Linked DNA regions of Pelodiscus sinensis. The protein of the gene in region 2 interacts with the protein of the main gene of each other region in a pairwise test. Links are inferred from orthologs where the notes say so. Each region holds a gene or a part of one and is shown on either strand. Other genes may lie near its edges. The genes, in order: NFE2L2, ATF4, CCDC106 and GCC1.

Region 1 (7,555 bases), on a different chromosome or scaffold from region 2:
GCACGTAAAGCTGGTCCTATAAAAGATATTACCTTAGCTCGTCTCTCTAAAACCCTGGCACCAATGCAGCTACAATAACACTGCATAGACATACCTCCTCATGCAGTGATAAAACGTATCTATTCTCCATATACATTCCTAATACGTTCATAGACAGTGCAACATGTTCTACCTGAATTTCCATAGCAGAGCAGGTGTATTGCAGATGAACATACCTGGTATATTTAGCAAAAGAGTCATGTAATTAAGACATTCTGATTATAGTTTACATTCTTCAGATGGATGTGTAGTTGTATATAATTACACTACAGGCTTTCTATATTTACAATAAACATGCATCGTAGACATGCTAGTGAGAGAGAGAAGCGAAACATTACATTCTATTTTATGGAGTGATTACAATGACAAATATCTGGTAATAATTAGGAATGTGAATGACTAGTCGCCTATCAGGTACGCAAATGCTTATCGAACAGTTGACACGCTAATCGACTAGTTGCTTCCCCCCCCCCCCACCTTGCTGCCTCTATCAGAAGAGGCGGAGGTGTTTCATAGTGGTAGCATCACATGGAGCCTGCAGACTCCACTGCTGACCCCAGGCTCCATGCAGCTCTGCCACTTTGAAACGCTGTGGTACTGAGAGTCTCCTGCTGTGAGACTTTGAAACACTGTGAGTCTCCTGATGGCTCCAAGCTCCCTGCAGCTCTTTCACCTCAAATGTGGAGGTGCCCTTATCGACTAATCAAATAGCCGATGTAAATTGTATCAACTATTCGATTAGCCAATTAATCTAAATGTAATATCCCTAATAACAGCTTTCATCCAAAACTCATCACACCATCCATTGTCTACAACCAATCCCTAAAATACAACTGCATTTGTTCCAATCCCTCAGACTAAGACAGGATCTCTATCAAGCATTCTTAAAACTCCAATACCCACCTCAAGAAGTGAAGAAACAGATTGATAAAGTGGCTAGCCAGGACAGACCCATCAAAGAAAGCAACATAACATAACATAACATAGACATTACTTACATCCCTCAGCTACAATCTATCCTACATATCATCAAGGATCTACAACCTATCATAAACGACGATCCCTCGCTCTCACAGACCTTGGGAAACAGGCCAGTTCTTGCTTACTGACAGCTCTCCAACCTGAGATAAATACCCACCAAAAACTTCATATGCTACAACAGAAACACTAATCCAGGTACCTATCCTTGCAACAAAGGATTACCAACTCTGCCACATATTTATCCCAGTGACACCATCACAGGACCTCACCACATCAGCTATGCCACCAAAGGCTCATTCTTGTGCACATCTACTGATGTAATATATGCCATCATGTGCCAACAATGCCCCTCTGCCATGTACATCTGACAAACCATCTGTCTATGCAAAAGAATAAATGGACACACATCAGACATTAAGAATGGTAACATACAAAAGCCAGTGGGGGAGCACTTTAACCTGCCTGAACACACAATTTCAGCCTTTCGAGTTGCTATTCTCAGGCAAAACAGACTGCAAGGAGAAACTGCTGACTTGGGAATAATGCAAATTTGGCACATGGACTGATTCTCATGTTACTCTTACATTACACATAAGTAATTTCCCATTCAGGTACTCACACCTTACCACTGTTGGAGATGAGCCACATCCACTCTGATTTAATTAGTACTGATGTCATAGTCCCATCTCTGTGTCCTTTTCCTCCCTCTTTTTTCTCTCTTTTTTTTCTTCAGTGTCTGAGGAGCTGTAGCTCATGAGAGCTTATGCTCTAATACCCTAATACATGTGTTAGTCTTTAAAGTGCCACCAGACTCGTTGTTGCTTTTGCTGAACTAGACTAACACAGCTATCGTTTTAACATCTGACATTGCATACATTCATTTGTATGTTTTGTCCCACCAGAGCAACACTCTTTATTGTAGTAGATGTGAGAGGATTAAATAGCACTGTGAGCCATAGGCATGGGAACTTCGGGAGTGGGAGGGTGCTGCAGTACCCCCAATCTCAAGGTCCCACATGCTGGGGGCTCTGCTGCCAGCTCGCGCCCAAAGGTCCCAGCTCGAGCCCCGTGCACTGGGTGCTCAATTGCCAGCTCCACACCCAGCTTCAGCAGGGGATTCAGACAGGGATAAGGGGTCCCAGTACCACCACTTTTAAAAAATGTGTCCACACCACTGCAGTAAGCTGGATCATTTAGAACAGGAATAAGCACAGGAATAGAGCCATGTTTTCAGCAGGTGCAGAGCAAGGCTGGGTGAGGGGTTATTAGCAGTGTTCTCTTCAATTATATTTATTGACTTTAAAGGAAGCCACACATACACCTAAGACCACCATTAGTTCCACCACTGTGTATGCATTATAGATAGTGGCTTTGACCTGTTATAACTTCCTAACAAATACAACATCTTGCATTTTTACAGTGACTGTTATCCCCAAATGACCACAAATTTAACATAAGATTTATTTTCACCAACTGCTGAAGAGCTCGACCTTCTATGAGGCTACACAACAGGTGTTGAACAGAATACAACAACATTTGAGATTAAGAAGTGAAGAATCCTGTCTCACATTTAAATTTCAGAGGAAATTAAAGCAGGAAAAATGTAATTACCTCAGTCGGAATCTAGCCAGTGCACAAGGATTAATGCACCCATTCTTCTAAAAGTGCTGTGGAATCTTTTAATTATCAAAAGTAGTCAGGATCTCATTTGAAAGATGGCCTCTCTGAAAAAACAGCATCTTCTGCTAGTGCACTGTTTTAGGATTAGTAACAGTGCTATCTACTAAATCTACAAATACTTTCCGAGCTCTGGAGTTTCTCTTAGAGGCCATTCTTCCAAGAACTGAATGTGCATAATTTGTGAGACTTGGTTGTACAACTACAGAGCTAGCATAACAGAACAAGGTAATGTCTTTAAACCCCCAAAAGCTGTGGACTCAACTAAAACAGAGTTTACCTATATCTTCCAATACTTTCTGTGAAAACAGACAATAAAACTGCACCATGCACACTTCTTCATGGAAGTAGGTCCATACATGCATTGATGTGCTGCTTCACATTGCAAGATATGGCCCGGTTCCATAGCTAAACAGCACAGGATGTCTAGAGGTAAGAATAAAATAATGTTGTAAAGTAATAATTCTTTTGTGGGTAGCATGCAGCTAAACAAGGTTAACTTGAGTGGTGGGGAAGGATTGAGGTGAGTCACTCAGAGCACTCCTATATTAGGTATTGGGGGGGAAGGGGAGTCTCAGGAGTGGTGGATGTCAGTTTATATTAAGAGTTTTGAGAAATGTGTTGGAATTTCCATATAGCCTTCCTCTCATTATTAAGCTGCTATATTAGTTACCAACTATAAGTTGGAATGGCTGGGGAAGGTCAGTTAGTATAAAGAGTTGGTCAGCTGGGATGTTGCAGAATCTGTTGGAAAGGCATCTGGTGAATCTGCTGGATTGAGATATGTTGAGATGGGGGAAATGGCTCTGATATGTTGGAATCTGCTGAGATCAGGCAGGCAGGGTTCTGTCAGACTTGGAGATGGGATGAGTTATGATAAATCAGGGAAGACTTAGTTTATTGTGGCAAGATTGACAGGCTGAAAAAGGATCTGATGAGAAACAATGTGGTAGGAATAGAGAGGAATCGGAATTGAATTGGAATAGGTTGAGGAGAGATCTGTTGGAATGAAGAAGAATCTGGGAATAACTGGATAGTTTGTGGGAGCTGATGGACGTGGGTGATTTTCAGGAGAGATGGGGAGGAGAGAGAGAGAGAGAGAAAGAGAGCGTGTGCGCGTGCGCCGGCTTACATACACACAGAGCCAGATGTCCAGTTAGGCACAGTACTCAGGTGCCTTGGGGTGCTGCCCTTCTAAAGTTTACAAAACTTTAAAGTGGTTTACAAATTTCATTTTTTGTTTTTAGAGAAAGCACAAAAGTCAGCTGTAGGCAGGGGCAGGTGCTAATGATGCTGTGCCTAGGAGCATACAACGCAGACATCTGGGCGCGTGTTTGGCAGTGATGGGAGAGGACAGGCTCGGGAAGGGATGGGGCTGGTGGTTTTGGGGAGAGAGGGAAGAAGATGGGGCCGAGGCTCAGGTGTGTGTGGCAGCGATGGGAGAGGACAGGCGAGGGAAGGGATGGTTTATGGCTGGGATGGGGTGGGGAAGCAGAAGACGGGGCACAGGGGCGTGTGGCAGCGAGGGAAGGGGAGAGGGCCGGGACGCTGCTCTCTAGCAGGCCCTGGGGGGACAGGCAGGGGCTCGGACGGGGCCAGGGTGGCTTGGGGCCGGACGGGGATGTGAGGATGGGCGGGGCCGGGCCAGCCCCCGCGCTGCTCCGTGCGGCCGCCGTTGCCGAAGTTGCCGGGGCACTGGGACAAGGGCCGCCTCCCCGGCTGCCGCGGCCGTGAGTGGCTGGGGCCGGGCGGGGCGGGGCGGGAGGCGGCTCGCTGTCCCAGCTGTCCGGGGCCGCTCGCTTCACTCCCCCGCCAGCGTCGCAGCGAGCACCGGGACAGGGAGCGAGGGGCGACGCGCCGGCTGCCGCCAGCAGGATGGAGATCGAGGTGCTGCCCGCCCCGCAGGTGAGAGCCGGGCCTGGGCCCCGAGTCCGCCGGGAGGGGCCGCGAGTCCGGGGGCCGCTGGCACGTGTCTCCCCTGGGGCAGCCCCCGCCCCGCCCGGGTGGCGACACGCCGGAGCGGGGGGCTGCTGGTGGCGGGGGGGGGGGGGAGCAGGAGTCGCGGCCCCGCCCCTGCTCTCGAGATCGGCGCGGCTTCCCCTGCTCCGGGAACGTGATGAGTCACGGGACCGGCCGGGCGCCCGGGGGAGGCGGGCCGCGCACGGTTCCTGCCGGCCCCCAGGCCAAGGGAGCAGCCTGGCGCGGAGCCCCCTGGGGTCGGTGGCGCGTCAGGGGGACCACGGCCCGGGGGTTCTTACGCCAAACTAGTGTCCTCTGCTGCGAGCTTGGGACTTACCCTTTGGTGACTCAGTTTCCCCATCTGCACCATGTCACAGCCCCTTGGAAGAGGCCTGAAATGTGATGTGAGATGATGCCAGTAACAGCCACCCTGGTTTTAACCAGGTCTGTGGTGCCAGCCAATCTTACCAGCTGCCTCAAGGGCAAAAGGCCATGGGAAGGTCAGGAACAATGAGGCTGGCCTCCCAGAGAGGTAGACTAGATACTCTTGATTTCCTGAAAATCTATTGACTGAGGAAGTGGGGGTGTGAACAAAATGTCTAGGCCCTGGGTGTAAATAAAATGTATGGCTTTCAGTTTTAGCTGTAAGGAGTAGTAGCCCTAGCAAACATTATCTACACTCAACAAATTTAAATAAGTCTGCCTTGGAAATCTTAACCAGATATCATTGTACAGGCAGAAACTCTCTAGTCCAGGGTTCTGATCTGTGGTCTGGCAGGGCCATTGATATTGCTGAAACAAAGATCCCCAACAGCTGCGGGGCAGGACCTGGGAACAGGGCTGCAGGGCCAGTGGCCGGGAGAGCCAAGAGTCAGGTAGCTGGGGCTAACAGTGGAACCAGCCTGGTGGCAGGGAGCCCAGTGACCAGGGCTGGAACAGAGCGAAGCCTGGAGTGCGAAGCCTGGAGTGGAGCCCAGCCAGTTCTGATAGATCCTGGGAGAGCCTGGACTCTGTCAGCAGAGGGCCTGGAATTGACATCCCCTGGTCAGCACCTCTACTACACATATTGTTTCAGCATCCCTGGTGGCTCCGGAGACCCCCTGGATCTGTGTGATTTAGTCCTCATTAAACATGCCACTGCATTTAAATTTTAAGGCCCCACATCTAATTTCTTATTTGGATACATTATCCTTGTGTGGATGGCTTTTGGCTTTAGTTAAAAGTTTATCGTCTGTCACAATTTCCCTAAAAGGGCCCTTTCTGCTCGATAGCGTGAGATCCCTAGTGTTCTGAGCCAGGAACAAGTTGGAGCTGTTACACAATCATTTATTTCCCTGGGGCTGTTATGTTTTGGATTTAGCCTTTTGGTGCAGCTTCAAAATGTGTAAACCAGCATATATGGAGGGTATAATCTCTGAATTATCAGAACATAAATTTTAAATATTAAACATTCTTTCAACTTTTTTTCTGATAGTTTCTTTATCATGTTTCTGCATAAAATATATGTAAAGTTAAGCAGTTTCATTTCATAACAAGTCTCTTCAGGGGCATATAATGACATTCTTTTTCATAGTCTTGTGCTATCAGTTGTATCAATTGTCTAAAAGCAGAAGAAATTATCCTAAGTTATTTCACTCTTTTATTTAAAAAATGCATTTTTTAAAGGGTGAAGGAATAGTTGAGAACTAAACCAGTTTACTCTTCAATTTTAGTTTACAGATGTTTTGTGTTCATTTCTCCCCCCCCCCCCTTCTTGTTTATAGGGAAATACAAACTTTTTACTCCTAAATTTATTACATGTATGTATTCCAAATGTTATGTCCATTGTTTAGGTTCATTCTGATCTGGATCACAGACTTAAGAGAAGCTTAGATAGCTGTTTCTCAGGGGCTAGATATCCCACCAGATTAATTTGAGGCAGTGGTTCTCAGTCAGGCATATGTGTACCCCTGGAGGTACACAGAGGTCTTCTAGGAGATACATCAACACAGCTACATATTTGCCTAGTTTTACAGCAGGTTGCATAAAAAGCACTCGCAGAATCAGTACAAACTGAAATTTTATACAATGTCTTGTTTATAGACCGCTATATACAATACATTAAGATGTAAGTATAACATTTATATCCCAATTGATTTATTTTATAATTATATGGTAAAAATGAGAAAATGAGTGGTTTTTTTTTCAGTAATAGTGTGCTGTGACACTTTTGTATTTTTATGTCTGATTTTTTTAAGTGACATGAAACGTAGGGGTACGTAAAACAAATCAGACACTTGAAAGGGCTACTGTAGTCTGAAAAGGCTGAGAGCGAGTATTTTAGGGGACAGCATCCACTCTTAAAGTTTCAGCTACACCTTTCTGGATGTATCAAACACATCTACCTCCCCACTCTTGAGATGTGTCCCTCTTTGCAATATTGCTTCTTGTATCTCTGTTCTTAAAAAAGTTCCTCTTGGGCCTTCATCATTTTTTAGCTTCACTACTACTATTGCCTCATGTCTGGCCTCCCCTCTTGACACCCATTCATTCCTTGCAAAATGTTGCTGCTAAAGTAATTTTCTTGGTTTATTTGACTGTGCTAGCTCCCCTCTGAATTCCTACTGGCACCAACTTATGCACTGCATAAAATTCAAGCTTTTTTTGGTCTCATCTTTAAGGGCTTTAGCAACTATGGGCTTATTTACAGTTACAGTGTTGCAGCAGCATGGCTGTATTAGCAGTTACTGAAAACACAACCTATGCCAATGGGAGAGCATGTCCCGTTAGCATGCATGCAAAAGAAGCCCTTTCGTGCTGTCTACATCAGTGGGTAAGTTGGTGTAACTATGTCATTCCAGGGTGTGGATATTCCAGAACCCTGAGCAACATTATACCAGCATAAGTTTGTAGTCCAGAA
Region 2 (7,924 bases):
CACGCTCCCCCACCTCCAGGCCAATCAGGGCCTGGGGGCAGGGGAGTGGGCGAAGCCTCCCCCGCCCTACGGGGGCACCTGACTGGCCTGGTGGCGGGGGAGCGCGGAAAGCCTCCTCCACTTTCCCCCTCGCCCTACGAGCATCGCACGGCATTTCAAAGTGCCATGTGCTCCTGGCAGGGCGGAAGGAGGCTTTGTGCACTCCCCCGTCCCCAGGCCAATTAAGTCCTGGAGGTGGGGGAGCGTGCAAAGCCTTCTCCGCTCTGCCCCCGTGCTGCGAGAAGGGTGGGGGCAGAGCGGAGAAGGCTTCGGGCACTCCCCTGCCCCCAGACCTTAATTGGTCTGGGGGCGGGGGAGCAGTGGGCCTCTGTGGGCTGGATCCAGCCGCTTGATGGGCCAGATTCGGCCCGCGGAGGCTCTTTTGCCCACCCCAGTGTAATTGACATTTCCAATTTCAAAAGAAGCTATGCAATTGATGTAGCTCAATTTGCGTAGCTTATTTTGTGTTAAACCCTGCTGTATATACGCATCGTAAGGAATCTGTTTTGAGGTTTTTGAGTTAATGATGAGAAAAGACTCTTGCATTTTCCAGCTTGTTTTCTCCCATCACTGAAAAACAACCAAAGGATTTTTACTTTAAGGGAAAAAAAATCTTTTTTTCTAATAAGAATTACCTTCACAAAGGAGATACATTCAGCAAGTTCTGTGCAAAGGCAAAAGGGTGCTTTAACGTGGAACTCTGTATAACTAATTTCTACAAGCATCTAATAAAAAGCATCTATTATAGTCATCTAGGTAACTAGGAAATAATCTTGAAGTTAACCAATGGCTGTTTTTTGGAGTTTTGAGAATGTATTTTTGTGGGGGGTTTTGGGTGGGGGAAGTGTGAAGAGATGGAAGATGTCTCTCTGGAACCTTTCACTGTGCTAATTTCATGCACAAAGAAAGCTAAGTAGATGAAAAACCGAAACAGGATAATCCGGGTGAAGTTCCTTGTTGCGCATTTCATATTTGCTTATGTGAGTCTGGCTCTGCCGTACAGTGACTCCTTTCATGAAAATCCTTAATTAGCTTTTCAAGAGGGAGGGTAGGGTGTGTATATACTTTCCACTGATTTGGCTATAAAGACAGCATTACTTAAAATGGGGAAGGGGGTGGATCAAGGTTAAGGGATGTGAAAGCCTTCCCGTCAGCCAATCCCCATGCTACACTGATATCCACCCCCCTGCCCCTCCAATCCCTTGTTTGGCTTCTTTGTTTCACTGCCTCCCCTCCATTCTGTACTGAAACTCAGTGAGCTCCTTGATGCATTTTTTTTTCAGACCAGTCGTCATGGTTCACTGAGCTGCTATTGTGATGTCTTCTGAGATGTAGGGCAGTTTCCCCTCCAATGACTCAAAATGTTATTTTGCTCTTAAAAGAAAAAAAAATACCTTGTATACGTGGTACATTTCCACTCAGCAAAGCGGTTCCTATTGTGCATTTGGAGGATTTTGTGCTGACTTCAGTGATGATAAGGTTGCATTGCTTTCTTGCTCTTTTGCTGGCTTTGCAGGGCTGTGTGGGGGAGCAGGCTGGACACAATTTGTCCTTGAGGATTATCGCTAAAATTGTTTACTAGGTTCCAGTAAGTTACAGCTGTGCAAACCCAATGAAGGCCATGAGCTTCCACGAGTGTTCCTAAAGTCATAACTGGAAGACAATAGGGTTGCTGCCAGAAGTAGCTGAAAGCACAAGTTTGTTGTGCAAAACCTTTATTGCTGATTATGATTATACGAAGCTGCTGCTGTTGATCTTCCAGAGTTCGAATTAGCAGTGTATTTAAGATAGTTAATTCGAAGTGAGAGGGGCACTCCGGTTGATGCTGCCAACCCTGCTTTCACAAGGAGTAAGGGAAGTCGAAGGAAGAGTGTTCTTCCTTTGACTTCCTGCAGTGTAGAAAGCGCCAAAAATTGAGTTAAGGTACTTTGACTTCAGCTACGCAATTAATGTAGCTGAAGTTGTGTATCTTAACTTGTCCTGTAGTGTAGACAAACCCCCAGAGTCCAAACTGTATAGCAGGGATTGACATCCTATGGCACGTATGCCACTTATGGCATGTGAGCCGATTTTAAGCAGCATGAGGGAGGGAGCTCAGCCCTATCGCCTCCTTCCCCGCTGCTACTGTGGCGCACACAGTTGGGGCCAGCCCTGGAGGCTGGAGGCAGTGGGTCCTCTGGGGCTGGCTCCTGTCTGTGGTGGAAGCGTCAGTGGGGCCTGCAGGTTGGCTCAGGACAGCATGGTTGCAGCAGTTGTCAAGTAAGTGTCCCTCCTTATGCCCAAACCCCCACATCCCAATCCCCCTCACTCACCTCCCCCCACCAAGACCCTACACTTCCAGCTTGCTCCAATGCCCTCACTTGTTCCTGCATCCTCTCTCCTAGCTAGACACTACACCCCTATCTTGCTCCTGCACCCTCCCTCCTGGCCTGGCCAGACACATAGCCCCACCCTGCTCCTGTATCCACCATTGCTCCTGTACGCTCTCTCTGGCCACACACTGCACCCTCCCTTGTCCCTGCTCTCTCCACCAGCCGACATCCTACTCCCAGCCTGCTTCTGCACCCCACCTCCCAACTTTTCCCCCTTCTGCACCCCATACCTATCCTACTTGCTGGCAACTCTGTCTCACACACTAAACCCCTCATTTTTGTCCCTACTCCAGAACCTAAGGGGGTTCATAAAATCCTCCAATTCCAGAATGCCAGAAAAGTAAATCTGGCCTACAGGAAACCCTGAACCTCAGTCCTCCCTGTTCCTTCCCCTTGCCCTGTGAGGTTGGAGCACTAGGGAGTGAGGTGTTTCAGTTGGGGGCTATATCAGTGAGGGTTAGTAGGGTTTTTTTGCTTCTCACTGTGTGGTCTCCAACTGGTTTTTCTGTGGGTCAGTGGCTCCCCAACTCAAAAAAGGTTCCCTATCCCTGCCATAAACAAAGAAAACATTGAAACCTTTTGTGTTGGACATAATATTTTACTTTAAATAAGGTGAAGTTTAATAAACTAACATGAGAAAGTTAAATGCTTAATCTGTTTCATAATTTAAATTGAACTGTTCTCCCTAGCTGCAGCTGGTTCAGAAAATATGGTCACCGTACCCAGATCAGTGAATAAGTTAAATCTGGCATATCACTTCTGAAAGGTTGCTGACCCCTGCTGTACTGTATGGTTAGCAATATGGAAAACATGTAATTATATCTGAATGCACCTCAAACAGCAAGGGGCGGGGGGCAACAGAAGAGGGGACAAAGCTAGCATGGCAGAGAGAGGGGTCATAGAAGAACAGGTTGCCCTAGTGGCAGGACTGGTAGAGCAAGGAAATGGGCAACAGGGGTGGGGATGAAGGGAAGTGAGAGACAGTTAGGGGCAGGATGGCACAGCAGGGAGGGGAAAGTGAGGAGCAGTCCTGGCACAGGGAGAGAAGTGCTGTGGGGGAGTAAGAAGTGGTGGGGAGGGGAGGAGAAAGCTGGCACAGCAGCCCAAGAGCAGGGAAAGTGGGGACAGAGTTGGCACAGATAGGGTTGCCAGGTGTCCGGTTTTGAACCAGACAGTCCGGTTTTTGAGCTTTCTGTCCGGGAAACAAATTGAGAAAATACCGGACATATAAATGTCTGGTATTTTCTAATTAAGTAAGTTTTATTATCATGATTATCAGTACATAGTTGCGTACTGCGTGAGCGTGTGTACTCACCAGGCAGTATACAATTACACAATAGAGAGGAGGGGGGCGGGGCCGGGATGGAAGGCCAGGACTGTGTGAGGGATGGGCTGCACCCCAGGATCTATGTTTGCCTGGACCAGCCCTGCTTCCTCCCAACCTCCTCTGGGCCAGCCCTGCTTCCTGCCAGCTGTGCCCTGCTCCCCTCCCAATCGGTCCCCACCGCCATCTGAGATCAAGTGTGTTGGGTATTTTTCTGAAAACATCTGGTAACCCTAGGCACAGAAAGGATGTGAGAAAATGGGGGTGGTGGTGAGGTCAGAGCTGGTACAGCAGGGGAGGCAGGGTGAGGAAGTCACAGGGCAAGACTAGCATGGCAGTGGAGCGCTGGGGGAGCAGCGGGTGCTGCAGCAAAGGGAGGGGCTGTGGAAGAGCAGGGGGCACAGGAGGGCAGGGCTGTGGGCAAAGAGGCAGCGGTGGGGGCTGGCGGCAGGGCACGAATGCAGGGGTGGGCGGGGAGAGGAGCTGTGGGGTGCAAGGCTGGCACTGTGGGGTAGGGGATGAGAAGGGGCACTGGGGGCAGGGCTAGCACTGGGGGGGATGAGGAAGTGGGGGGAGCACAGGGCTGGCGCTGCAGGGAGGGGGGCGAGCTGGGGGCAGGGCTGATTGGGCGGCTGACGTTGCAGCTAGCCGCCTCGCGCCCCCTCTCCCCCTTCAGCCGAGAAGCGCAGCTCCTGGGCCTGCAGTTTGCATCGCTCTCGCTCTAACCAATGGTAGCTCACAGCGCACGTGAATTTGCGGTATCAGCCAATCAATGCTTCACATGCCCACGTGGTGATCCCCGTGCCGCGCCGAGCCCACCGGTCTGTGCCAGACCAAAGGCGGGAACATCCCGCCCGCGCCAGTTTCTGCGTGGCGTGACGTCACTTCGCGTCAATGAGGCATAGAGTCAGGGTGATGGGTACACTGCACAATATAGCCCCCTGTAATTCTTCCGCCGAGTGTTGGCTGGTCCCCTCGGCAGTGCGCGTGACCACGCGAATCACCTCTCCCGTCCCCGGGAGTCTTCCGGCAATCGGGGGATGGCAGCGGGGCACAGAGCGCTGCGCACCACCCGGCATTTGTGAGCGCGCGCGGTGAATCTGGCGGAAGGATACAGCGAAACCGGATCTCATTTTGTGGGGGGGAGGGGAAAAGGGCGGTATATAAGCGGGGAACGCGCGAGCCACCCTCTCATTGTCTGTCTGTCTAGTGCGTCGTGTGTTCTGTGCGTGGGCGCAGGCGGGACCCGACCCGGAGCAGCCTTGCCGCCGCCGCCATGGCTTGGTAAGGGCGGCAGGGCCAGCAGCGGCATCGGCCAGTGCAGCGGGCGCAGCAACAGCAGCGGCGTCCACGGCCCCTCCCCGGCATCTGCAGCCATGGCGTGAGTATGGGGGCGGGGCGGGGCCCCCCATCGGCAACGATCTGGCCGAGTGGGAAAGGGGCGTAAGTGAGCCGGGAAGCCCTCCCCCCCCCATGTTAGCGAATGGCTTTTCCCGCGGGGGGTGGGCCGAAATGGTATAGCCCGTAGGGGAGTGAATTGGTCGCTCCCGAAGGAGGGACGCAGGGACGGGCCTTGGGACGCTCCATTGCGCCCTTCCCTCCCTGCCCTGCTAGGGAGCGCGCGAGTTGCTGGGAGGCACCATATGGAGTGGGATGGGGGGGGGGGGTGAATTCCTGTGATCCGCTTAGCCCGGGAGAACCCATTCCTTATGGAAGGGGGGGGCATTGCGGTGGATTGTCCCTCTCGCCCCTGCTCCTCGCGCTTGCGGGTCCCTGGGGCTCCGCTGTTGGGGGGCGGGGGGAGCGAGGCTGCAGCTGGGGGCTGCCCATTCAGCTTCCCGCTCCCCTGTGCGCCCTGGCGGGGTTTGTAGGCGAAGTCCCACGTTCTCCTCCGATGCCCGCTCTAGGGCTGCAGGGAGCGTTTCCCTTCCCGCTGTGTCGCGCCGCTTTGCTCCTGGTCCGCCTGCTAGATGCCAGGTGCTGCCCCCGTGGAAACGTGGCAGGATACACAAAATGGCCGCCTATTGCTAGGGCGGGGTGAGCGAGCACACAGGCAGGAACGCGAAATGGCTGCAGCAGCTGGCATAGGCGCAAGTCCAGCAATGCAGGCATGAGTCACAGCAGATGGGTGGGAGGGGCTCTCGCAGGAGATGTGACCATATTTGGTCATGAGGAAACTTGAGTGGCCCTTTCTGTTGAGACTTCACAAGCACCATCTTAGTTACCAGATGGCGCTATTGGGGTGAGAGTTCTGAGACCGGCAAGAAGGGTGCAAAATGCAAAAATGTGGCTCACAGGAGATCCTGAAAAGAGGGAAACCCCAGTTTGGTTAGTGTTCCATAACATGGTTTATATAGTTGAAAACTCCCTTTTTCCACCAGTAGAAAACATACAGTTTAAGTCAAATCACACAAATGGCTGTGCTATATAACAGATGATCTTCTGTCTTTAATTCCAGGTTTTTCAAAGCACCTCACAGCAGCATTGCTGTAATTGACAAAGACACCTACTCATCTACATTCTTTGAGCAAAAAGCATTAACATTTGACCAAGATGAGCCTCTTGAACACGGATATGCTGTTGGGGGGTTTAAAGTCCCCCTTCAGCCAGTGGTGTTTGGTGGCTGAGGAAAGTCTGGGACTTCTAGATGACTACCTGGAGGTGGCCAAGCCCCTCAGTTCGCATGGGTTCTCCAGCGACAAGGCTAAGGCAGTCTCCTCCAATTGGCTGGCTGAGGATAGTTTGGGCAAAACCACAGATGACAGCCAGGGTAAGGCATTACTTTATTCTCACAGGATTATAGTGTTCAATTAGCAAGTGTTTGCATATCTCATCATTCATTGATGTTGATCAGTGAGCTATTTAAATGGATGAAAAGCAGTGTATTGAGAATCAAGAGCATCTCCATCCCTGTTCCGTATGTGGCTCAAAAGGCTATTCTTTGGGGAAGGAGCCTACAACATGCGAATGTGTTGCTTTCAGGTAGCTCTTAAAATCTTTCCAATTCTATAGAGCTTGAAGGAACCAGAGAAATGGCACGTTACAAATCACTATCAGGAATATTTTGTCCTTTTTTAGTAAAGCTCTGCAACCCACTCCACAATAAATATCAGGTGGGGAAAACAACCACACCAGCTTGGAGTCAGGTTGATTCAGCATCTTGGTCCAATCGGATATCTCATTGCTGTGGAGTGTGCACAAAGGATAGGAGTGGAGCTGCCAAACTTCTGATTTTTCTGTAACCCCGTAAGGAGGGGAAAAGAGTGAAGCTGAGCTGGGGTTAGGACCCTTTTGGATCAGGTGGGTTTGGGTCCAGTCTGGGTCAAGCTTAATTAATCTGGAGCAGACATCTATTGTTTAGAACATATGATTAGATTTGTCTATCAGAGAAATGAATGGAGAAAAAATCCACAATATAGCATGCAGTTTTTTCAGTAGCCTTTTGAATTGATTGTGTGACTGCTGTACTCGTATGGTAATTGTTTCCCCATGTTGCAGAGGATGCCTTCTCTGGCATGGATTGGATGGTGGAGAAGATGGATCTGAAGGAGTTCGACTTTGATGCCCTGTTAGGAATGGATGACTTGGAAACCACCGTCTCTCCAGATGAGCTCATGGCCACGTTGGAAGACACGTGTGATCTATTAGACCCTCCTACCCAGGAAATTCCCAACAAAGAACCTTCACTGATAACTGACCCAATCATTCATCACCCTGAATCTCCAATTGGAGTAGATCAGGTGGCCTCACTTGCCCCCCTTCTGCCTCTTCACCTCTCTCCAGAGTCCTTGACTTCTACTCCAGACCATTCATTTAGTTTAGATCTAGGTAGTGAAGTTGATGTACTGGAAGGAGACAAAAAAGCAGAAGCCACCACATTCGTGGTGGTGGTGATCCCCAAGTTTGAGAAAGAGGAGGAAGTACATTCAGATAATGATAGTGGAATATGTATGAGCCCAGAGTCTTATCTGGGGACACCCCAACACAGTCCAGTCACCTCTGTAGAATCGTTCAATGACAGCCAGTTTCCTGCAGACCCCATTTGTGGTTCTATGCGGCCCAAACCATATGATCATCCTGTAGAGAAAGTAGTGTTGGCAAAGGTGAAGGGAGAAAAAAGGGTTGATAAGAAATTGAAGAAAATGGAGCAGAATAAGACAGCTGCTACACGTTATCGGCAGAAGAAAAG
Region 3 (6,868 bases), on a different chromosome or scaffold from region 2:
AAAAATCCTGGAAAAAAGTAGACAAAACCCAAAGTTTTAACCAAAAAAAAAATTGTTGATCAATTTGGCAAATACTTGGGACTCGGCCAAAGAAGGCCGCTCCAGTTTGAGCCTTGGGCCGATTTTGTGCCTTTTGAACGTTTCTGTACCTTTCATTTTACATTTAACACTGGCAACAACTTTGGAAAAGGCCAACATCAAAGACGTCTCTTTTGAGCATTGAAAATCATTCCCCACCCCTACAGATCTGCATAGATTATTGAAATAATCTAGCCACCGAGATCTGGGCCCAGTCAGGCCTGGTGTGGATAAAATCTAGTCATAATCTCAGACATTCCCATAGGGATTAACAGCCCGCATTTCATCCTCAGGTCTCCAAGCACTTTACCTTGGCAGACCAGGATCATTATGCTCTGTTATGTGGGAAACTGAGGCAAGGGGTGGTGGTGTGGCGGGGGGAGGAATGAGAAATCAGCTGTACCAAACCCATCGCTATCCCTGACCTTTTACAGTTGTTGACAATTGGAAGAAACAACAAAAAGCAAAAAAAGATACATCCATAAAGAACATTTTTTGAGATCTAAAAAAAAAAGACAAAAAATCCCCGCCCCCAAAAAAATCCCGTAGATTTTGCAGAAAATCACCAACAATTTTTCCCCCGGGGTTGTCTGTCCCAAGGGGGGATTGGCCACAGTTCGAGTTTTGCCATGGAAATGAGACACACTAAAACCCACATTCCCGCTGGAACTTGGCTCACCATGCAATGGAAACAGGACGGGTCACTTGGGGTGGGCGGCAGGCTGGCCCCAGGGGAAAACTCAGCCACGCACGGACCCCTCGTGGCAGCCAATAAATCAGTCATGCTCCCGGTTCTAGAGATGGGGGAAAACAGGGACACAGAGAAGGGACATGCAAAGTCACTCTGCAGGGAACAGGACCAGTCCGAAGAAGTCCTGATGTCACCCAACTTCCCCGCCTGCTCTAACCACTAGACCACACTGCCTTCCAAGAGCCAGCTGTGGAACCCAGGAATGCTCAGTTTTTCAGGGCTGTGAGAGCTTAAGCTCCAACCAGCAGCAGGCTGTGAACCATCTGACCTGAGAGCCCCCCGAGCTTCTGGGGAATCTCCCCTAGCCAGGAACACTATAGGGGGCAGGACACAGGGGGAGGGGGTTAGTTCTGATTGCAGCCATCAGGGGCAACATGGCTCTTTCACACACATGCAGCGCAGGGCCCAGCCCCTCCTGCAGGGGGCAACAGGGGACCCCCCCCACACACACACAATCCCCTCCAACAGGAGGCGCCAGCTGCACACAGACACACTTTTCTGCCCTGCGGATTCATTCCTGGTGTGATGGGGGCCTCTGTTGGCCAGGCAGGGGGGATGGGGACCCCTCATCCCTTATTGGCCTCTGGGAAGCAGCAAGTAAAGAGTTTGGCCTTGGAAGTAGAGAAACTGCTTATAAGGGAAGCAGATTGGGGAGGGGGAGACAGAGTCTGAGGCCCAATGGTCCATGAGTTACTCCTTCAGCTCCCGTATACCCAGCCCCCGCACCCCACCCTGCAGGGGCTGGATCACCTGGCAAGGGAGGGCCAGGTTAGGCGGGGATCCCTGCACGACCAACTGCTCCAGGGTGGCACGGCGGGGGCTGGGTATTGGCTGTGGGGGCTGGAGGAGCAAGGGGGGGTCCCCGTTCTCTGCGAGTCACATGATGGAGGGGGTTAAGGGATGGGATGGCTGATGGAGAGGGTTACGGGACAGGTGGATGGTGGTGGGGGTTAAGGGTCACATGACGGGTTTAACCCGCCGTGAGACGCAGCAGCTGGTGGATTCCTGGGCGCTATATTTAGTGGCTAATGACAGGTTGGGATGGTGGAGCTGCCTGCTTAGCACCTCGGGCAGGCCTGGACTGGCAGGTCTGTAGGCTCCCATGGTGGCTGTCTTCTGCCCGCCTCTTGATATAAAGTAGTCCCTACAAAAACAGCCTGGGCAGGAAATGGGGTGCTGGGTCTTTCCCATACGTGTGTGTGCGGGGGCGCCCCATGGGGCTGGTTGGCTCGGGGGGGGGGAGGGAATGGTGTGTAGCTCCCCTCTGGCCCCAGGGGAGCCAGATGGGGGGCACCGACAGGGCTGCGGGGGCAGGGGCTGTGGGGCGCGAGTGAGCGGCACCGAAACAGCTACGGGGGAAAGATGCACAAGCCCACCAATCAGAGCCAGCTCCCTAACGCAACTCACACTTTGCAGACGCTCCCTGGCCCCCAAAGTGTGTGTGTGTGTGGGGGGGAACCGCCTCCCCTTTTCCTTTCCAGCTGGGGGTGAAGGCAGCGGACACCCTGCAGGGAGAAGCGGGGGGGGGACATGGCCGCAGTAAGCGCGACGGCATCAGCCCCCCGCCCCTAGCCCCCTCCCCTTACTGTCCCCTCTGCCTGCCCTTCGTCTCCCGTCCGGCTAGGGAATTGCGCCTCGCTCCCTGCCTGGGCGGGGGAGGCAGGGAGGGAGCTTGAAGGGGCCGACGCTAAAAAGTCGCGCTTTTCCAGAGGCGGAAAATGAAAGCGGACGCGGGGGAGAAGACAGAAACCGCCCCCTCCTCCCGATGGGCGGAGCGAGGGCAGCTCGGTTCTGTGGGGCGGTGATGAGGAATGGATGGATAATGAAGGGGGTGGGGGATGGATGATGGAGGGGGGGTGGATGATGATGGAGACGGTGGGGGATGGATGATGGAGGGGTGGGGATAGATGGATGAAGGAAAAGTTGGGGTATGGATGGATGATAGAGGGGGTGGGATGGATGGTGGAGGGGTGGAGGGGTGGATGGATGATGGAGGGGGTTAAGGGACCAGCGGATGATGGGGGGGTTAATGGACAGGTGGATGATGGAGGGTGGTTAAGGTACAGGTGGGTGATGGAGGGGGTTAAGGAATGGGATGGATGATGATGGGGGTTAAGGGACAGGCAGATGATGGAGGGCGTTAAGGGATGGATGGATGATGGAGAGAGTTAAGGGAGAGGCAGATGATGGAGGGGGTTAAAGGATGGACGGATGATGGAAGGGGTTAAGGGACCGGCAGATGATGGAGGGGGTTAAGCGATGGGATGGATGATGGAGAGAGTTAAGGGAGGGTGGATGATGGAGGGGGTTAAGGGAGGGTGGATGATGGATGGGGGTTAAGGGATCGATGAGTGGATGGATGATGGAGGGGATTAAGGGATGGGATGGCTGATGGAGAGGGTTATGGGACAGGTAGATGTTGGTGGAGGTTAAGGGAGGGACAGATGATGGAGGGGGTTAAAGGACAAGTGAATGATGGAGGGGGTTAAGGGATGGATGGATGATGGAGGAGGTTAAGCGATGGGGTGGATGATGGAGGGGGTTAAGGGATGGATGGATGATGGAGGGGGTTAAGCGATGGGGTGGATGATGGAGGGGGTTAAGGGATGGATGGATGATGGAGGGGGTTAAGGGACGGGCAGATGATGGAGGGGGTTAAGCGATGGGATGGATGATGGAGAGAGTTAAGGGAGGGTGGATGATGGAGGGGGTTAAGGGACGGATGGATGATGGAGGGGGTAAGGGACGGGCGGATGATGGCGGAGTGAGGGATGGGTGACTGAGGGGGTTTGGGGCACAGAGAGGTGATGGGGTGGGGGGAACGGATGGGTGAGAGAGGGGGACTTAGGGGTACTGTCGAGGATTTGGAGGGCAGAGAGCTGTGCTTGGTGAGGATAAAGACACGGGGGTGACTGGGTCTCTCTCCAAGCCTTACCCCCCTTATTACTCCCCCGAGAAGGGGCCGAGCCCTGGCTGGTGGGGGGGGGGGGCGTGTCAATTTCTGAGCGAGCTCTGTAGCACAGCCCCCCCCCGCGTGTCTCTGCCCTGCGTGCGTGGGCGACCCCCCCCCCCGGTGGCGCTTTGCAGACGCTCCCTGGCGCTGCCAGGCGTGGGGGTGGCCGTGCCCGCTGGCTGGGGGTTCGCGAGCCGAGCTGGGTGAGTGGGGTTGGGGGGGGTTGTTCTCTGCAGAGCCCCCCCCCCCGCACCCGCTGCCCTTGCAGCGCGCCCCGGGGCCGGGGGGGGGTTCTCTGCTGAGGGTCTATTTTGCATCCATGGGGGGGATCCGGGGCTACGTTGTACCCCCCCAACTCCGCGTCCAGCCCCAGCTCTTTCCCCTCCCCCCCTCCCCCCTCCGCAATCCAGCCTGGGAGTAGCCGAGTTCCAGCTGCACAGCGAGGCACACAGGGCGGGGGAGGGGCAGAGAAGCCATTTTTAGGGCGATTTCCCCCCATTTGGGGGCACTCGACGGCATTGGGGGGGAGGGCTGGGACCAGGCGTGCAGACTTGGGGGCAGGCGGGGAGTAGAGTCCATCAGAGAGACTGGGGGGCCATGGGGTCCCTGGATCTGATGCACAGGGCTGGAGCTGATGCAAAAGGGGGGGAGGGCTGGGGGGTCTGGAGCTGATGTGCAGGGCTGGGGGGGTTGGATCTGATGCAAAGGGGGGGAGGGCTGGGGGGGCCTGGAGCTGGTGCACGGGGCTGGGGGGCTATACGGGGCCTGGAGTTGGTGTGTAGATCTGGGGGGGGGGGGGGGGCTGCGGGGGAGGGGCTGCTCACTCGGCTGGCTGCTGGTGAGGACTGCAGGGTTTGGGGGTGGGGGCGTAGCTGGGTGCAGATGGCCCCCCGTGGATGCGGGCTGCTGGGTTTCTTCCAGGAGCTCCCCTGCTCTGGCTCTGGGGGAGGCAGGGTTTCCTCCATGTGGCCTGGATCCCCTGGGTCTGTTGGGGGGGGGGGGGGGGGAGAGCCATGTGGCCCTCCCTCCCCTCCCACTTGCTGGTACCCAGCTCTGCGCCTAGATGTCTGCCTTGGGAGTGCCCTGGGGAGAGAGGGGGCATCCCCAGATTTACCCAGCCCCCCAGTAAATCCAGCTCCTTTCCCCAGCTGCTCTGCTGGGATTATGTGTTAACGCCCCAGTTTCCCAGCTCTGGGGCTGGTGCTTGGGGGACGGAGGAGAGGGTGGGTGTTTTGGGGGGACCTGGGACTGAAGTAACACTCGGGGGTGTTTGTAGGGGGAGGGGATGTGATCTGGGCTGGTTCACGGCAAAAGTGCCCCCCCCCGTCCTATAATTTTGGTTGATCTCTGGGGGGGCCAGACTTGGGGAGGGAGGGAAGTTGCAGGGTTCTGGGCAATGTGTATTGTTGTGTGTGTGATTTTGCATGCCCATCCATGTGTCATATCATCTGTAGTGCATAGCGGAGGAAGATTCTCCTCCAGCTTAGGGAGCTGGGATCTATTGCTGCTCCTACTCAGAAGTTTACTGCTGACTAGGTGTTGAACTGAGGCATAGAATCCAGGAGTCCTGCCTCCAGCCTCTCCTACTCCCTACACCCAGACTGGCTTTGTGCCTGGCCTTGCCCTGATCCCATGCACCAGCGCCTGTGTGGGACAGCAGGGGGCACCGATGTGGGCAGCCCACAGGCTGTGGGTTCAAGTCCTGCTCCCAAAGAAGCAGCCTGACCCCCCCTTCCCCCTCTGCGTCTCTTCTTCCTCCCCCAGGGCTGGCCGGAGGGGGGTGCAGGACGGGTTCGGAGCTGGGCTGCCCCACGGCCCATCCGTCTCAGGTAGGTCCCTGGCCCGTCTGCAGGGAGAGTCCGAAAGGTATCCCTACAGGGGCCATGTGGGGTCATTCTCAGGGAACCTCAGCCTCTCCCCAAATGGCTCCCACTGCCAGGCTTGGTCCCCCACACTCCAGAAGTGCCCAGTATGGCGGGTGGTTGGCACCCAGTTCTGGGCACGGCCAGCCTGAGGCAGCTACTGTCGGCTCTGGGGCTTCGTGGGAGCAGAGGGAGCAGGCCTGAGGGGTAGGATGGGTTGAGTCGGGGGTGATTTGGAGTATGTGGGGAGCCCTGGGCATTATGGGTGGGGTGGGGGTGTCCCTGGAGCAAGAAGCAGGTGCCCCAGGGGTTATGGGTTGGGGCTCTCTGGAGTTGTGGATAGGGGCTGCCCCAGGGGTTATGGGTTGGGGCTCTTTGGGGCAGGTGGTGGCTGCCTTGGGGGTGGTGTTATGGGTGGGGGCACTCAGGGGATATGGATAGGGGCTTTCTGGGGTAGTAGTGGTTGTCCTATGAAGATTACGGGTGGGGGCTCTCTCTGGGGATATCGGAAGCTGCCCCAGGGGGATTCTGGGTAGGATCTCTCTGGGGTTATGGGTGGGGCTGCCCACAGGGAGTCTCTCTGTGGTTATGGGTGGGGGCTGCCCAGGGGGGGTCTCTCTGGGGTTATGGGTGGGGGCTGCCCAGGGGGGTCTCTCTGGGGTTATGGGTGGGGGCTTGCCAGGGGGGGTCTCTCTGGGGTTATGGGTGGGGGCTGCCCGGGGGGTCTCTCTGGGGTTATGGGTAGGGCTGCCCAGGGTGGTCTCTCTGTGGTTATGGGTGGGGGCTGCCCAGGGGGGGTCTCTCTGGGGTTATGGGTGGGGGCTGCCCAGGGGGGGTCTCTCTGGGGTTATGGGTGGGGGCTGCCCGGGGGGTCTCTCTGGGGTTATGGGTAGGGCTGCCCAGGGGGGTCTCTCTGTGGTTATGGGTGGGGGCTGCCCAGGGGGGGTCTCTCTGGGGTTATGGGTGGGGGCTGCCCAGGGGGGGTCTCTCTGGGGTTATGGGTGGGGGCTGCCCAGGGGGGTCTCTCTGGGGTTATGGGTGGGGGCTTGCCAGGGGGGGTCTCTCTGGGGTTATGGGTGGGGGCTGCCCGGGGGGTCTCTCTGGGGTTATGGGTAGAGCTGCCCAGGGTGGTCTCTCTGTGGTTATGGGTGGGGGCTGCCCAGGGGGGGTCTCTCTGGGGTTATGGGTGGGGGCTGCCCAGGGGGGGTCTCTCTGGGGTTATGG
Region 4 (6,879 bases), about 90 Mb from region 2:
GGCCAGACTGGGTCAGAACAAAGGTCCATCCTGCCCAGTGTCTGGTCTTCCAACAGTGGCCAATGCCAGATGCCCCAGAGGGAGTGAACAGAACAGGGAATCATCATGTGATCCCTCTCCTGTTATCCAGACAAACAAGAGGCTAGGGACACCATTCCTACCCACCCCGGCTAACAGCCATTGATGGATCTAACCTCCATGAATCTATCTAGCTCTTTTTTGAATCCTGTTAAGTCCTGGTCTTCACCACATCCTCTGGCAAGGAGTTCCACAGGTCGACTGTGTGCTGCATGATGAAAAACTTCCTTTTGTTTTAAACCTGCTGCCTATGAATTTCACCTGGTGACCCCTACTTCTTATATTGTGGGACTCCATACCAGCTGGAGGGTCACAGGCACTCTGAGCTGGGTACTGTGCCTCGTACTGACAGGTCCCATTCCCTGACTGAAGTGCCACTTGCTACTTATTAATTTCATTTGGTGATCCCTAGTTTTTATGTTATGGGAACAAGTAAATACATTTTCCTTATTCACTTTCTCCATACCTATCATGATTTTATAGAGCTCTATCATATCCCCCTTTAGTCTCCTCGTTTCTAAAATGAAAAGTCCCCATCTTTTTAATCTCTCTTCTTATAGCACCCATTCCAAAACCCCTAATAATTTTTGTTGCCCTTTTCTGAACCCTTTCCAATACCAATATATCTTTTTTGAGATGAAGTGGCCACATCTATATGGAATATTCAAGAAGTGGGCATACTATGGATTTACAATCCATCTCATTGTTTATTCCATGCAGTACCAGGAAAAGAGGAAAGATGTTTTTCATGACCCCAGTTGGTGAGCAGCTCAGCCCCTGAAGGTGGAGAGTTAAAAGCCACTCTCATTTCACCTTATCTTACTGAATTATTTACCTCAGCATCCACTGACAGGAAGCGCTGTTTGTTTGTTTGTAATACACTACATTACTTAGGGATGTTGAAATGAATTTATTTAGGTAAAGGTGTAACCGCTGAGAATTTCAGTGGTTACACATTTACACACCAAAGGGTGGGAGGAAGCATGTAACTGTGAAGGTCAATGACACATTTACACGTTCACATCCCTAATTACAATTATTTCATTCTATTAGAATAGTTTCAATTTGCACTGCTCCTATCACTGCAGACTCTTGAAAAGTTTTACAAAGGTACAGTCACAGGAACTGCCACAATGCTTAGAACAGTGCTCTATCCACTGGTCTCTGACAGTGGCCTGGGTAATGTGCTTCAGAAGGTATATGAAACTATAATGGACAATTATGGCACAGTTCCTTATAAAACAAGTTTCTTCCTACTCCTACAGTGGTTGACCTATGCTCCTGAAGCACAGCAGTTTGAATCCTTATTAAGAAGGAATTCCTTCTAATGGAACAGTAGATTTTTCTCTCATTTATGGTCCTATGAAGACGCAGGATTTATGCCAACCCAAACTCACTACAAATCTCTGTACTCACTAATGCTCTCCTCCTATATAATAGGTTGGCTAGTACACCCTGGTGTACCAACAAAGAATTACCTTTTTCATCTCTTGCAGCAGCTGTGCTTGAAAATGACTCTTGAGGCTGGCCATCTCCTCCTGTAGCTCCTGCAGCCTGGGATCTGGCTTGCTGCTCGTTTCCTGCACGGCCTGCAGCTCTCTCTTCAGCTCCTCCACCACCCTGTTCAGCTGCTTTGTCTGCAGTTCAGACTCTTCCACTCGGTCTGCCATGTACACCCTTCCAGCCAGTGCTTCCTTAGTCTCCTCCAACTTTAGCTCCACATCCTGGCGCAAGGTCCTTTCACCTTGCAGCAGCTTCTGCAGCTCCCGCAGCATCACGGCATGGTCACTCTGCTCTTGGGCCCGGTCATGTTGCTGAGTAATAAGACGAGCTTTGGTCTCTGCCAGCTGCTCCTGGACACACTTCATCTCTGCCTCCAACTTGCTCCTCTCTTCCTCAGCCTTTTTACTGGCCTCATCCAGGTCCTGCTTCATCTTTTTCTTGTCTGCTTGGTACGAGGCTTCCATGCGGGATTTCTCCTGGGTGACTGTAGCCAGGGAGCTGGTTAAGGTGGCCAGTTGAGTCTTCAGCTGGAGCACCCTTTTGTCAGTCTCACTAGCCGCGCCTGGCACATCCCCACTGCTCGTGCTGACCCCACTCTCCGACTCGCTCGCCTCCTCCGATTTCAGGGGGGGCCCCCCAGCTCCGGTTCGCTCATCGTCTGTCCCCAGTTCACCCTTGGCACTGGTCATGCTGGCAGCCGTGTCCACACTGGTGGCCGTGCCCGTGCTGTCCTCGCTGTGCGCGGAACTCCGGTCATCCGCACAGTCGGCAAGGGACACGCCGGAGTGGGCAGCGCCCGGGGGCGGGGGGCCACCCAGGCCCGCGTCGGTCTCGTGGGACACGGACAAGACTTTCAAGCTGGCTTCCAAGGCTTCCTTCTCGGCCAGCAGGCTCTTGTAGGCCCGCACCACGTCCCCCAGGCGCGTCTGGTACTGGAGCAGCTGCTTCCGCTGCGCCTCCACGGTCTCCGCGAGCTCCCTGCGGCTGGGGCCGCCCCCGAAGCTCATCCCGAACTTCTCCATGGCGGGGGGGCTCGGGCAGCCCCCGGGGAAGGCGCAGACTCCGGAGTGACTCCGGTTCCGTCACAGCCCCCCCCTCAGCGGGCGGGAAGAGGCCGCCCCCGGGATCGCGCCCCCCTCAGCGGGCGGGCGGGAAGAGGCCGCCCGCTCGGTGTTTCGGCGGGACGGGGAGAGGCCGGCCCCTCCCCCCGCCGCTCCTCACACGTCAGCAAGGCGGCTCCGCTCACCCGGACCTCCCGCCACACGCATGCGTGGAACCCGTCACGCCCGGCCCACCCTCATCACGCCTGCGCGTAAACCGCCGCTCCCCGGCCCGCGAGCCTCGCGCTTGCGCACCCCGCGCCTCTCGCGGCCAACGCGCCTGCGCCCAGGACGTAGGTCACCAACCGACGCTCGCCGCTCTTGAGGTTCCCCGCTAACGGTCGCTACGCGTGCGCGTATGGCGTCATTTCCCCCCCCCCGGGGGCCAACGGTCGCCGCGCATGCGCGCATATCTCAGCGCTCTACCTGCTGGCCCCGCTTCTTTCTCACTGCGCATGTGCCGATTGCAGTAGCCTTTTGACTCTTCTGCCCAGGTCGCAGCGCCCAAGTGCGCAGGTGCGCTCCTCGGGAAGGGGCGGGGCTATGAGATTTGGGGGCGGGGCTCCGAGGCAGTAGCTGCCACGTGGGGAGGGAGGCGCTGCACGGCTGCAGGAGGGGACCGGTTCCCTAGCTAGGGCCGGGGCGGGAGCTGCCTTTGCCCGAGGCCCTGAGCAGGCGATGCGGGGGCCCGGCAGAGGCGTGTTCAGCCCCACGGAGCCGGCCTCCTTCTTCCCGTGGGGGCCCGCCCCCACCCCGCCCCACTATCCTGTTGGGCTGGTTCCTGCTCAGCAGCGAGCCTCTGCCCCGGCCCACGGGCAGGGACGTGTCGCCGGGCCCGCTCAGCGTGGCTCCGTGGAGAAGTCACTTCCTAGCCCTGGGTCGCTCGGGCTCTGCCGGTCCGGCATGCTAGGGGCAAGGTGGGTGAAGCTGCGATGTCTTCCCCGCGGGTGAAAACCAGAAGCCTTTGAGACCCAGAGCACCTTGTTAGGTCCAGCGGAAGTTGGTCCAATAAAGCCTGTTCCCTCACCCACTGTTGTCTCTCGTGGCCGGTGGGGGAAAGCATGGCCCATAGGGAGGTTGCTCCTAGCTAGAACCCCATCTCTGGGATGATTTATGATCAGAGGGGTAGCCCCCGTTAGTCTGTAATGGGAAAAACTTAAGAAAAACCCCAAGGCTGTGTCTACATTGGCGCAATCTTGCGCCAAAGCGGTGGCTTTTGTGCAAAAACTTGCTGCCTGGCTACACTGGCCGCGAGATCTTGCGCAAGAACACTGACGTTCTAATGTGTGAAATCAGGGCTTCTTGCACAAGAACTATGATGCTCTCACTCAGGAATAAGCCCTCTTGTGTAACTGTTCTTGCGCAGAGGCCAGTGTAGATAGGCAACATGAATTTCTTGCCCAGGAAAGCCCTTTGGTTAAAATGGCCATCGGAGCTTTCTTGCGCAAGAGAGCGTCTACACTGGCATGGATGCTCTTGTGCAAAAGCACATCTCTTACGCAAAGGCACATGCCAGTGTAGATGCTCTCGTGCGCAAATACTTTAACGCAAGAACTCTTGCGTTAAAGAGTATTTGTGCAAGATCATGCCAATGTAGACATAGCCTAAGTCTTGCAGCACCTTAAAGACTAACAAAACAAGTGTAGTTTTCATTTAAAAAAGCCCCTTGGAATGCAAAAGGCAGCCCAGGTACACCAGGCAGTCAGCGACAATAGCTCCAGAGGGGTGGACTGTCCCATTCAGATTAATTTCAAGCCCTGCTGCCATTTCCAAGCGGTGTGACCTCACTGCAAGGCCCTGGCACAGGGTGGGATCCAGGAGTATCACCAGCATTGTGCCTAGAGCCCTGGAGCTGCAGGGAGCAGAAGTTTCGGGGTGAGGGAGCAGGACTCCCCCAAAAATGGGGCTCTGGCAGGATTCAAGGGATTGTGGCCCTTTCTAGAGACGGGGTAGTGTAGCTCCTGGGGGCGTGGCTAGCACTTGAAGAGGCGGAGCTCGCGGTGCAAGGGTGGGGCCAATGCTGTAGGAGGCGGGGCTATTGGTAGAGGGCGTGGCTCCTGCGGAGGATCGCGCTGCTGCTAGCGTCCAGGATCCTCGAGGAGGCGGAGCTAGTGCTGCAGGGGCGGGGCTCTTGCAGGAGGCGACTGACGGCGCCTGGCCACGTGCCCATGCTTCTGGGGGCGGGGCCACTGCCACGGGGCGGGGCTCGTTCTACAGGTATCGGAGTGTTGCCGGGTTTGGGGCTCTGCCAAGGGGCGGGACTAAGGCGGACGGGGGCGGGGCTCTTTCAGGAGGCGGGGTTAAGGCTCGGGAGCGGGTTCTGTGGGGGGGGCTCTGTCAGGAGGCGGGATTAAGGCGGGAGGGGGCGGGGCTATGGCTGGGGGGGGCTCGTCTAGGGGGCGGGGCTCTGATGCGAGGGAGCCTATGACAGGGTGGACGGGGCTCTGACGGGGCGGGGCTAAGACTCGGGAGGAGGCTCTGTGGGGGCGGCTCTGCCAGGAGGCGGGGCTACGGCGGGCGGGGCGGGGCTGTGCCAGGGGCGGGGCGGGGCTAAGACTCGGGAGGAGGCTCTGTGGGGGCGGCTCTGCCAGGAGGCGGGGCTACGGCGGGCGGGGCGGGGCTGTGCCAGGGGCGGGGCTAAGACTCGCTAGGGAGCTCTGTGGGGGGGGGAATCTGCCAGGAGGCGGGGCTAAGGCTCGTTGGGGGGCTCTGTGGGGGGGGAATCTGCCAGGAGGCGGGGCTAAGGCTCGGTGGGGGGCTCTGCCGAGGGCGGGGCTAAGGCTCGTTGGGGGGGCTCTGCCGAGGGCAGGGCTACGGCGGGCGGGGGCGGGGCTAAGACTCGCTAGGGAGCTCTGGGGGCGGGGATCTGCCAGGAGGCGGGGCTAAGGCTCGGTGGGGGGGCTCTGCCGAGGGCGGGGCTACAGCGGGCGGGGGCGGGGCCCTGCCAGGGGGCGGGGCCAGGCTGCTCGCAGCGGCGGTGTCGGCAGGCTCGGGGCGCAGCGCGGCTCCCGCTCCCCAGCCATGGGCCTCACGGTCTCCGCCATCTTCTCGCGGATCTTCGGCAAGAAGCAGATGCGGATCCTCATGGGTGAGGCCGCGTCCCCCCCTCCCACCCCCGGGGGGGCCCTACGGGCGGGGGGGGGGACGCAGGGCCGGGGGGGCCCAACGGGCAGGGGGGGGGACGCAGGGCCGGGGGGGCCCTACGGGCCGGGGGGGGACGCAGGGCCGGGGGGGCCCTACGGGCAGGGGGGGGGGGGACGCAGGGCCGGGGGGGCCCAACGGGCAGGGGGGGGGACGCAGGGCCGGGGGGGCCCTACGGGCCGGGGGGGGACGCAGGGCCGGGGGGGCCCAACGGGCAGGGGGGGGGGGATGCAGGGCTCTGGAGAATGGGGAGGGCTGTGTTCCCGGGGGGCAGTGGGGTTGGGTTGCGGGACTGGGGGGGGCAGGGCGATATGGGGAGAGGGGCGGGATGCAGGGCTCTGGAGAATGGGGAGGGCTGTGTTCCCGGGGGGCAGTGGGGTTGGGTTGCGGGACTGGGGGGGGCAGGGCGATATGGGGAGAGGGGCGGGATGCAGGGCGGGGGGATGCAGGGCTCTGGAGAATGGGGAGGGCTGTGTTCCCGGGGGGCAGTGGGGTTGGGTTGCGGGGCTGGGGGGGGCAGGGCGATATGGGGAGAGGGGTGGGATGCAGGGCGGGGGGGTGCAGGGCTCTGGAGAATGGGGAGGGCTGTGTTCCCGGGGGGCAGTGGGGTTGGGTTGCGGGACTGGGGGGGGCAGGGCGATATGGGGGGAGGGGCGGGATGCAGGGTGGGGGGGGATGCAGGGCTCTGGAGAATGGGGAGGGCTGTGTTCCCGGGGGGCAGTGGGGTTGGGTTGCGGGACTGGGGGGGGCAGGGCGATATGGGGAGAGGGGCGGGATGCAGGGCGGGGGGATGCAGGGCTCTGGAGAATGGGGAGGGCTGTGTTCCCGGGGGGCAGTGGGGTTGGGTTGCGGGGCTGGGGGGGGCAGGGCGATATGGGGAGAGGGGTGGGATGCAGGGCGGGGGGGTGCAGGGCTCTGGAGAATGGGGAGGGCTGTGTTCCCGGGGGGCAGTGGGGTTGGGTTGCGGGACTGGGGGGGGCAGGGCGATATGGGGGGAGGGGCGGGATGCAGGGTGGGGGGGGATGCAGGGCTCTGGAGAATGGGGAGGGCTGTGTTC

Evidence for each region.
Region 1: the proteins of ATF4 (region 2) and NFE2L2 interact in binary tests that used the Homo sapiens proteins (3 or more experiments, as listed by UniProt). The link is inferred for Pelodiscus sinensis from reciprocal best matches to the Homo sapiens genes ATF4 and NFE2L2.
Region 3: the proteins of ATF4 (region 2) and CCDC106 interact in binary tests that used the Homo sapiens proteins (3 or more experiments, as listed by UniProt). The link is inferred for Pelodiscus sinensis from reciprocal best matches to the Homo sapiens genes ATF4 and CCDC106.
Region 4: the proteins of ATF4 (region 2) and GCC1 interact in binary tests that used the Homo sapiens proteins (3 or more experiments, as listed by UniProt). The two-hybrid records come from large-scale screens. The link is inferred for Pelodiscus sinensis from reciprocal best matches to the Homo sapiens genes ATF4 and GCC1.

Annotation. Positions count from the first base shown.
Region 1 is NC_134717.1:45,626,112-45,633,666, reverse strand, and holds the start of NFE2L2 (nuclear factor erythroid 2-related factor 2), read left to right. Parts: upstream 1-4,540; 5' UTR 4,541-4,572; coding exon 4,573-4,602; intron 4,603-7,555.
Region 2 is NC_134711.1:90,961,923-90,969,846, reverse strand, and holds the start of ATF4 (cyclic AMP-dependent transcription factor ATF-4), read left to right. Parts: upstream 1-4,921; 5' UTR 4,922-5,116; intron 5,117-6,193; 5' UTR 6,194-6,288; coding exon 6,289-6,505; intron 6,506-7,233; coding exon 7,234-7,924. UniProt on the Homo sapiens protein: Transcription factor that binds the cAMP response element (CRE) (consensus: 5'-GTGACGT[AC][AG]-3') and displays two biological functions, as regulator of metabolic and redox processes under normal cellular conditions, and as master transcription factor during integrated stress response (ISR).
Region 3 is NW_027465849.1:3,188,702-3,195,569, reverse strand, and holds the start of CCDC106 (coiled-coil domain-containing protein 106), read left to right. Parts: upstream 1-3,851; 5' UTR 3,852-3,985; intron 3,986-5,546; 5' UTR 5,547-5,611; intron 5,612-6,868. UniProt on the Homo sapiens protein: Promotes the degradation of p53/TP53 protein and inhibits its transactivity.
Region 4 is NC_134711.1:569,077-575,955, reverse strand, and holds the start of GCC1 (GRIP and coiled-coil domain-containing protein 1), read right to left. Parts: upstream 3,017-6,879; 5' UTR 2,604-3,016; coding exon 1,557-2,603; intron 1-1,556. Other genes in the region: ARF5 (ADP-ribosylation factor 5), read left to right, coding at 5,703-5,769. UniProt on the Homo sapiens protein: Probably involved in maintaining Golgi structure.